Caenorhabditis elegans: one gene and its partner. The protein of the gene in region 1 purifies or fractionates together with the protein of each later gene. This does not show direct contact. Each region holds a gene or a part of one and is shown on either strand. Other genes may lie near its edges.

Region 1 (4,796 bases):
TTCGATCCCGTGATCGACTTCTTTCCCGCCGATCTCGTTTATCGCGCGGACTTCTGCTTCGACTGCTTCTCTTTTCTTTTTCGTCGCGATTTTTGCGAGCATCTCGACGTTCACGACTTCTACTTCGTTCTCGCCTTCTTTCCACTGATCTTGATCTGGATCGTCTCTTCCTATCGCGACTGCGACTTCTGTCACGTCCCATTGCTCGCGAACTGAAAAATAAACGAAACTTGTAACGAAAGTAAAACGCAAAGCTATTTACGAAGCTTGAAAAGAAAAGTCGTCATAAAGAATTTTTCCGCGGAAAATTCGACTCAATTCTCCTTTATTGTCATCATAACGAGTAAGAAATGAAATAATTAAAATTTTATATTTCTAAATGAGTTTTCTGCTCTAAACCAGAAGCCGAGTACAAGGAAAAAGAATTAGTTTGTTTTTCAATAAAACGTTTTTTTTTGGACAAGAAAAAAAAGAAATCGAGAAATTTATTGGACAAGAACCAAACAAAACTGAATGCTTGTGAAATTTGCTGAAATCGTCGATATTTTCGTTTGTACGGTGGGGCGCGCTTTCTCTTCTCCGTTTCAAAAAAAAAATCGGTTTCGTCCAGAACATCATAACAGCTTCGGCGTGAATTAAAATATAGTTTCAATGAAAAATACATTATAATCAACTTAAAAACACTATGTTCTGGATAAAATGGAGATAATGGTAAAACTTTTAAATTGGACTCGATTATTTCAACAACGAAAAACAGCAAAACAACAAAAAAACAAAAAAATCCTAACAATTTTCAACTGAAACAACAAAACAATTGAGCGCAAAATTCGCAAAACATTTATATATTCTTATTGTTCTTCTTGATCAACTTCTTTTTCTTGATTTTCTTCTCTGGTTTCTCCGCTGTCTGTGTTTCAGTTTTATTCTTCGCTTTTTCCTCAGCGGCTGCCTTTGCTAACATTTTCTTCTTCTTGATCACCTGCTCTTTTACAATGGCGATTTTGTGACGCTTTGGAGCATGTTTGAGCATATCCTTTTTACGATCTCTGAATTAAAAATTGAGTACTCAGAACAATAGGATTACCCTCAAACCTCGAGACTTTTTTCATTTCCATTAAATACTCCGGCACATCAAAACCAGATTGACGGATAACAGTTGCAATTGATTTAATATACTTCATATCAGCATCTGTGAAGTATGTGACAGCATGACCACTCTTTCCAGCACGACCAGTTCTTCCAACACGATGAATGTAGCTAACAATTGAAGTTGGCAAATCATAATTGATAACCAATCCAACATCAGACAAGTCAAGACCTCTTCCAAGTAATTCAGTACAAACGAGAACCCATATCTCTCCTCGACGGAACCTTTCCATCGTTTCATCCCTTTCCTTATCACTTTTTCCACTGTTGATTGAATCAACTTTTAGATTTGAATCAATTGCAGACAGTAATTTCACCAGTTGCACGGCACGATCCTTGCTTTGTACAAAAACTAGAGCTGGTGGTTTGAAGGAAGTTCGCAACAAATTTCGAATAGCGATTTTCTTTCCATCTTCAGTTCCACAATAGGTTAACTTTTGCTTCACACTTGTATTAGACGAGTTTCGTTCACCAACACATACCATACCAATTTCATCGATATTCTCCTTACACCTGGAATTTAGATATGGAATTTTGATATGACAAATCTTCGAAAACGTACCATTTTTCAACTTCATGTGAAAATGTGGCACTGAAGAATGCGACACGTGTGCATTTGGCATCACAAGCCTTGTAAATTGCAGCGAGTTGGTTACGGAAGCACTTGTCCTGGCCTTCAACAACCTCGAACAAACGATCGGATTCATCAACGACAAGCCATCTGAAAAAATGAACAAAGTTTTTAGGGAATGGTTCAAATGCAAACCTTAATGAAGACGTATCAATTTTATCCAAATGAAAAACGATACGATTTGGAGTTGACACGAGGATATCTGCATGCTGAATATCAGTTTCTTCTCCACTGAAGTTGGCAGCTGAGATCGAAGTATTGGCGCAATATTTCAAAAATTCGGTGTAAGTCTGAAAATCGTTAAATTTGATTACGATTCTATAAATTCTGTAGAACCTGTGCTGCTAGTTCTCTTGTCGGTTCGAGTACCACTGCCAACAGCTTCGAAGAGTTAGAGGATGAATAATCAGCACGTTGCTTTAATTCGAGAATCTCATCGATGACTGGAAGAGCAAACGCCAACGTTTTTCCTGATCCTGGAACAGCCGGAATTGGAAGTTTTTCTCTTTTCAAGTCTTTACCTGTGGGAGCACTAGCAAGAACATTTCTTCTCTCAGTCATAAATGGAATTGATTGCATTTGAATTGGTGATGGTTGACGGATTGAATTCTCAGATAGACGATTGAGCAATGATGGTGACATGCTGGAATCGGAGAATCGTAGAATAATATTAGGAAGATGATCACCCCAAGTGAAAATTCGATTGGTACGGCGAATGTCGTCGAGCTGAAGATTTTTTTTCAAATAAAAATTAAATTTCTGTAGAAATCTCACCAATTTCTGCATTCTCTTTTCCACGTCGCCAACGGTCTCCTCCACTTCATTTTCAGAATCTCCGTCAGAATCATGTACTCTCTTTCGTGATGCAAGAATTTCAATCGACGCTGAATATTACAAATGGTTTATAAGTATTATACTAAATAGACAATATTAACCTTTCTTTTTATTTTTCTTCACTTTTTTCTCAATTTTTGACTCGACTTTTCCGATCATTTTTTCACGAAGTTCGTCATATCTCCGAAGCGATTCTTCTGTGATCGTTGATAGTTCTTTCTTTTTGTTAAGATCATCGGCATCTTTCTTTTTCGGTTGTGATCTTTTAATACCGAACGAAAGGGTTCTAAATGCCAAGGACATCTGAAATCACATATAGGTATACAGATTCGGGTGAACATTTCGAAAGAGGTAAAAATGATGAGATTCAACATCATTATAAAAAATTAGAGTAAAAATGCAACGATTAGTCAGTAAAATTCATAGGAAATTTGATGTAGTTGTATAAAAACCAAAGCCAAATATAAATAAAACAATAGAAATTATATTCACGAGTGCAAAAAAAGTAAGCTCCCCTAGATCAAGCTAATTGAGATTATTGGAATGCAAGAGAGCTGTGAGATTTCATAGAGTTAATGACGTTGATTTTATCGTTGAGAATCAGTTGACACACGTCTTCGCTCATTTGATTCGCGATCGTTGCCATCGCTGGTTTAGTGCATTCAGTGCTGGATAAAACACGAGAAGATAGAAGAAGATCGGCAGTGACGAGATCAAGTTGTTGAGACCATCCTTCCAATTTTTGAGTATTTTGAATCATTGACATGTTAACTGCATCCAAATATGTTGTAAGACCTGAAAAAGTTTTCTAAATACATTTTTTCAAAAGAAGGCAAAATTATTTGTTTTCCAATTGCCGTTCGGATTGAGTACTGTAACAAACTTTCGAGTTTTTTTCTTCCAATTTTCAAATATATTTTCTAAAAATAATTGTTTCAGGGAACGGCATCCATAAGTACCGGAAGCAATATTTTAAAATTTTTAAACGTGTTGCCGCTAATAAAAATGGGTTTACAGCCGAAAATTGATAAAACGAGCTTGCAATCAAATTCAACAATCCCACTTCTAAAATGATTTTTGAAGAGATATTGTTCCAACTTTTATAATCCTTACTTTTGAGACCAAATGTTTCATTCAATTTAGTGATACTGTTTTTTTAAATGAAAAAAGCTCGCCTTTAACTGTATGTGCACCATTAGAAACTGCTGATTTAATTTTTGCAAGTCTTCTGGTGACTGATTTAGCGTAACACTCGTCCACCGGAACTCCATCAAATCTAATTTCGTAGCTTTCTTCGTGAACAGCGGCGTCACACGAAAGAATGCTTTCAATTAGAGTATTGATTGCACAATCCCTTGGATCAACACAGTATTGGGAGAATCTGAAAGAACATGAAATTCAAATAGTTTCGAAGATTTTTATACAAACGTATGTCTGAAGGCCACATATCGATCGATAGTTATTTCAATTTTCTGGTTAATCTTGTTCACGTGCCACTTCATGAGACAACTATTCGTGGCAGTTTTCATCATTTGTTCGCCCGTTAGATGGTGAGGTGTCTGAAATTAAAAGATTAAAAGATTAAAAGTTAAATCTGAAATGTTCACCATTGCAAGAGATGCCTTGAGTTTTCCAAGACGTTCATCAAAAGATTCACGAGCTACTGGCGATGGAGACTTTTCCATTTTTACTTTTCTGGAACAAAAAGATTGAAAATTGCAATTTTTGAAAAGTTTTTTTTACTTAGACTCATCAGAAGCTCCTTCTAAATCTGATGTCTTCACTGCTTGTCGCTTTTTCGCTGCAGATGCCTTCACGTAACTTCCAGTTTTTGTACGATCCTGAATATTAAATTTGAAATATATTTTTAAATAATGAAGATCACTTACTTTGTTAGCAGCAATTCCAGCACCCATTGTTCGAATCTTTTGCATTAAAGTCTGAGAATATTCACATCCGAGAAGTGTTACATTAATGAATAATTGTGAGAGGCATTGAAGTTGGATTCTGGAATTGAAAATTGTTTTAGAAATAGTACAAGTGTGATATTATAAAACTAATGTTTTTTTTTCCAGAACACAATTTAGAAACATTAATTTTTTAAATCTATAAAATTTGAAATCAAAACAAATCAGGCATGGGTGGTAATTCTACAAAATGACGTATTGCGCCATGTTTTTCCAAC
Region 2 (5,001 bases), on another chromosome or scaffold:
TCAGCGATTTTTGTCTAATTGCAGAGTTTTTCGACTCAAAAAGCTAGTTTTTAATGTTTTTGGTTGAAAATTGGCATATTTTTTCTTGTGGTTTATAATTTGAAAATATCGCCAGAAAATCGACTTTTTGATGGAAATTGGTGAAAATTGCACTCAAAAAATGAAAATTCGTCGATTTTTGATTGATAAATCTAATTTTTATATTAATTTTTTCGATTTTAAAGTGACAATCACGTTTTTAAAGCAAAAAATTCGAGATTTCTGGCAAAAAAAAGGGTTTTTCATGCTAAAATCGACGTAAAAATCGTTTAAAAGCGCATTTTTCCTTGAAAGTACGAAAAAAATCGGTGTTTTTTTTTTTGGGATTTTCCATTAAAAATTGAGTTTTTCTTGATTTTGCCCGTCAATTTATCAATTTTCCGCCAAAAATCACCAGATATTCGACTAGAATACCTCTCGTCTCACAAAACACGAGTTTTTAGTGGAAAATTGAAAAATATCGCCAGAAAATCGACTTTTCGATAATTTTATAGACATTTTCATGAAAAAACACTAAAATCTCGTGTTTTGTGATACGAGAGGTTTTCTAGTCGAATATCTGGAAAAAATTGGGGATTTTTGGCGGAAAATTGATAAATTGACCGGTAAAATCAAGAAAAACTCAATTTTTAATGGGAAATCCCAAAAAAAACCGATTTTTTTCGTACTTTCGAGGAAAAATGCGCTTTTAAACGATTTTTACGTCGATTTTAGCGATTTTCTGTTAATTTTCGAAATATTTTTGCCGAAAGTCATGAAAAACCCTTTTTTTGCCAGAAATCTCGAATTTTTTGCTTTAAAAACGTGATTGCCACTTCAAAATCGAAAAAATTAAGATAAAAATTAGATTTATCAATCAAAAATCGACGAATTTTCATTTTTTGAGTGCAATTTTCACCAATTTCCATCAAAAAGTCGATTTTCTGGCGGTATTTTCAAATTAAACCACAAAAAAAAATATGCCAATTTTCAACCAAAAACACTAAAAACTAGCTTTTTGAGTCGAAAAACTCTGAAATTAGACAAAAAAAAGAATATCGCCAAAATCGACGTAAAGATCGTTTAAAATCTCATTTTTCCTTGAAAGTACGAAAAAAATCGGTTTTTTTTTGGGATTTTCCATAAAAAATTGAATTTTTCACGATTTCAACCGAGACAATTTATCAATTTTCAAAATCCCCAATTTTTTCCAGATATTCGACTAGAAAACCACCCTCGTATCACAAAACACGAGTTTTTAGTGGAAAATTGGAAAATATCGCCAGAAAATCGATTTTTCGATAATTTTATAGACATTTTCATGAAAAATCGACGTAAAAATCGTTTAAAATCTCATTTTTCGCTCGAAAGTTTGCAGAAAATGCGATTTTTTTTTTGAGATTTTCCATAAAAAATTGAATTTTTCACGATTTCAACCGAGGCAATTTATCGATTTTCCGCCAAAAACCCCCCATTTTTTCAGATATTCCGATTTTGAAGAAAAAAAACACGTTTTCAAAGCAAAATCATCGAGATTTCTGGCATAAAAATGGGATTTTCATGACTTTCCGCAAAAATCCAACTCGAAAATTAACAGAAAATCGTCGTTTAAAAGCGCTTTTTTTTTTTGGGATTTTCCACATAAAAAATTGTGTTTTTCTTGATTTTGCCCGTCAATTTATCGATTTTCCGCCTCAAAAATCCCCCATTTTTTTCAGATATTCGACTAGAAAACCCCCTTCCTCGTATCTAGAATATCGCTAGAATTAACGGATTGATCAAAAAATCGCCAAAAACCCGCCGAAAATGGGTGTCCCCAAGTTCTACCGATGGACATCGGAGCGATATCCGTGTCTGAGTGAAGTGATCAACGAATCGCAAATTCCGGAATTCGACAATTTGTATTTGGATATGAATGGAATTATTCATAATTGCTCGCATCCGAATGACGATGACGTCACGTTTCGAATTACGGAAGACGAGATTTTCGTGAATATTTTCGCGTATATTGAGGTAAAGAGCCGCCGAAAAAATTTGCCCAAAAACGGAGAAATTTGCAAAAAAACCGGCGAAAATTAGTTCAAAAACGGGGAATTTCACAAAAAAAGAGCGAAAATTAGGCTAAAAACGGCGAAAATTGCCAAAAAATGGAGGAATTTGCAAACAAAACGAGGAATTTCACAAAAAAAAAAGAGCGAAATTTGCAAAAAAAAACGGCGAAAATTAGTTCAAAAACGGGGAATTTCACAAAAAAGAGCGAAATTTGCAAAAAAAAAACCGGCGAAAATTAGGCTAAAAACGGCGAAAATTAGCCCAAAACCGGCGAAAATTAGCTCAAAAACAAGGAATTTCACAAAAAAACAGCGAAAATTAGTTCAAAAACAGGGAATTTCACAAAAAACGGAGAAAATTAACCCTAAAAACGGAACATTTTGAAAAAAAAACATCAAATTTCTGTCAAAAACCCGCCAAAAATTGGATTTTTTGAGCTTATTTACGTCTGAAAATGGAAGAATCGGCCTTCTGGATCTCGGCCACGGCCATGTGTCGATTTACACGGCTCGTGTACTCCCCGAGGACAAGATTTTACAGTTTTTTACTAAAATCCCTGATTTCGGGCAGTTTTTGCCTATTTTTTTTTTTTGGATTTTATATTAAAATTTGCCGCCGAAAATCGATAGTTTTACTGTTGAAAAAGTAGAAATTTGGCGGTTTTCAGATCGATTTTCACCGAAAAAAGGCGATTTTAATGTTGAAAACGATGAAAAAAAATGTCCAAAAACTGCAAAATCACCAAAAAATCGAATTTTGGCGGTTTTTCAGCAGAAAATTGTCTGAAAAATCACGATTTAGTGCGCATTTTTCCCGTTTAAATTGAATTTTTTTTTCAAAAAATTCAAATTTTGCTGTAAAAAATGACAAAATTTGATATTTTTCTCTTTTCAGAATCTCTACAATCTAATTCGCCCGCAAAAGGTGTTCTTCATGGCCGTCGACGGTGTGGCTCCGCGAGCAAAAATGAATCAGCAACGGGCGAGACGATTCATGTATGTGGAAGAGCTGCTTTTAGCAGGAAAAAAGGAAATTTGGTGAAAAATTGGCGATTTTTGACCAAAAAATTGTGCTTTTACATTGGAAAACTACTCATTTTTTTCGTATTTTTCCATTAAAAAAACCAATTTTTTGTATTTTTCACTTTGAAAATTCAATTTTTCGGCTCAAAAACTGCAAAAATGTCCAAAATTTGTGATTTTTCACCTAAAAAAAAAATCCAATTTTTGTTATTTTTCACTGCAAAAAATTCAATTTTTCGGCGCAAAAATGTCAGAAATAACCAAAAATTGTGCTTTTTCATTTGAAAAAAATCCAATTTTTGTTCTTTTTTACTCAAAAAATTCAATTTTTTTCGGCTCAAAAACGTCAGAAAAGCTCAAAAAATCTAGCAAAAATTGCAATTTTTCCAGGTCAGCCCGAACAGCCCATACTCAACTCGCAAAAGCGCTGGAAAATGGCGAAATTATGCCATCTGAAGCTCGATTCGACTCGAATTGTATCACCCCGGGCACATATTTCATGACACGGCTTCATCAGAAGCTTGACGATTGGATTAAAACGAAATCGGCGACCGATTCGCGTTGGCAAGGCCGAAAAATTATTCTCAGCGGTCACAATGTGAGGAAAATGATGGCTCTCTTCAGATTGAGCTCCAGATTTGCTCAAAAATCAATTTTCTTTAAATTTTTCAGGAAAAAATTGATGAAAATTCCAATTTCTGATGAAATTTCTAGGAAAATTTGGATTTTACAGCAAAAAAAAAGTGGTACTTTTTACAATTTTGCTGTGAAAATTGCGATAAAATCCAACAAAATGGCTGAAAAATTTTTTTTGACCAAAAAAATCGAATTTGGAGCTCAGATTTGCTCAAAAGTCAATTTTTTTTCATATTTTTTAGGAAAAAATCGATGAAAAATTGCAATTTTTCAGGAAATTTTGGATTTTAGACCCAAAAATGAAGTGTTTTTTCAACAAAAAAAACCCGATTTTTTTTTATGTTTTAGAGCTAAAAATCAGCATTTTAGTCCAATTTTTTTTATAAAAACGTTAAAATTTGTATATTTTTGCTTTAAAAATTGCGGTGTTTTGGGCCTTTAGGTGAAATTTTGCGAACTTTTTTAGAGAAAAAACTGAATTTTTGCTTTAAAGCGTTTATTTATTCGAATTTTCGAAAAAAAATTTCACAGATTTCAAGCCAATTTTGGCTTAAAATCAAGAAAAAATCACGTTTCTTCGTCTATTTTAATGCTAAAAACCGGGTTTTTGAGTAAAAAAGTGTTAAATTTCAAATTTTTATTATTTAAAAAAGATTCGGAAAGCGAAAAATTGCAATTTTTCTTGAAATTTTTTAGAAAATTCGGATTTTAGGGCGAAAAAAATAGAAATTTGTACGTTTTTGATGTAAAATAGCTGAAATTTGCTCAAAAATCAATTTTTCTCATTTTTTGAAGGAAAAATTAATTCGCTTTTCACTAAATCTGACAGGGAGCCGGAAAATTCGGAAAATTTGGCTCAGAAACTGATTTTTTTGCCGAAAAAACCGCGAAATAAGCGGCTAAAAACGAGAAAAAAAAATGCCAAAACACTCAAATTTTCATCTATTTTGATGAATTTTGTAGCAAATTTCATGGAAAATGATCTAGAAATTCGGCAGAAAAAATGCATTAAAATTTGCATTTAAAAAAAATTTGTGAAAAGTAATTCGCAATTTTTCGCTGTCAGATTTAGTGAAAAGCGAATTAATTTTTCCTTCAAAAAATGAGAAAAATTGATTTTTGAGCAAATCTGGGCTCCAAAAATGATAATTTTCAGCTATTTTTCATCATGAAAAACGTACAAATTTCTACTTTTTTCCTCATAAAAAACCGGATTTTTCCAGAAATTTATTTTTGGAAAACTCTAGGTGGTCCAAAAAAATTTTTTTCAGCC

What was found.
Region 2: the proteins of ddx-52 (region 1) and xrn-1 fractionate together in Caenorhabditis elegans (co-fractionation; one large-scale study listed by BioGRID). This does not show direct contact.

What each region holds. Positions count from the first base shown.
Region 1 is NC_003279.8:8,596,776-8,601,571, reverse strand, and holds ddx-52 (putative ATP-dependent RNA helicase DDX52), read right to left. Parts: upstream 2,915-4,796; coding exon 2,713-2,914; intron 2,662-2,712; coding exon 2,552-2,661; intron 2,504-2,551; coding exon 2,299-2,503; intron 2,254-2,298; coding exon 2,114-2,253; intron 2,068-2,113; coding exon 1,913-2,067; intron 1,868-1,912; coding exon 1,709-1,867; intron 1,660-1,708; coding exon 1,093-1,659; intron 1,047-1,092; coding exon 839-1,046; 3' UTR 697-838; downstream 1-696. Other genes in the region: snrp-27 (U4/U6.U5 small nuclear ribonucleoprotein 27 kDa protein), read right to left, coding at 1-202; paxt-1 (Partner of xrn-2 protein 1), read right to left, coding at 3,147-3,406, 3,787-3,992, 4,040-4,170, 4,219-4,306, 4,355-4,452, 4,501-4,618.
Region 2 is NC_003280.10:14,067,173-14,072,173, forward strand, and holds the start of xrn-1 (5'-3' exoribonuclease 1), read left to right. Parts: upstream 1-1,734; 5' UTR 1,735-1,824; coding exon 1,825-2,031; intron 2,032-2,964; coding exon 2,965-3,065; intron 3,066-3,482; coding exon 3,483-3,690; intron 3,691-5,001.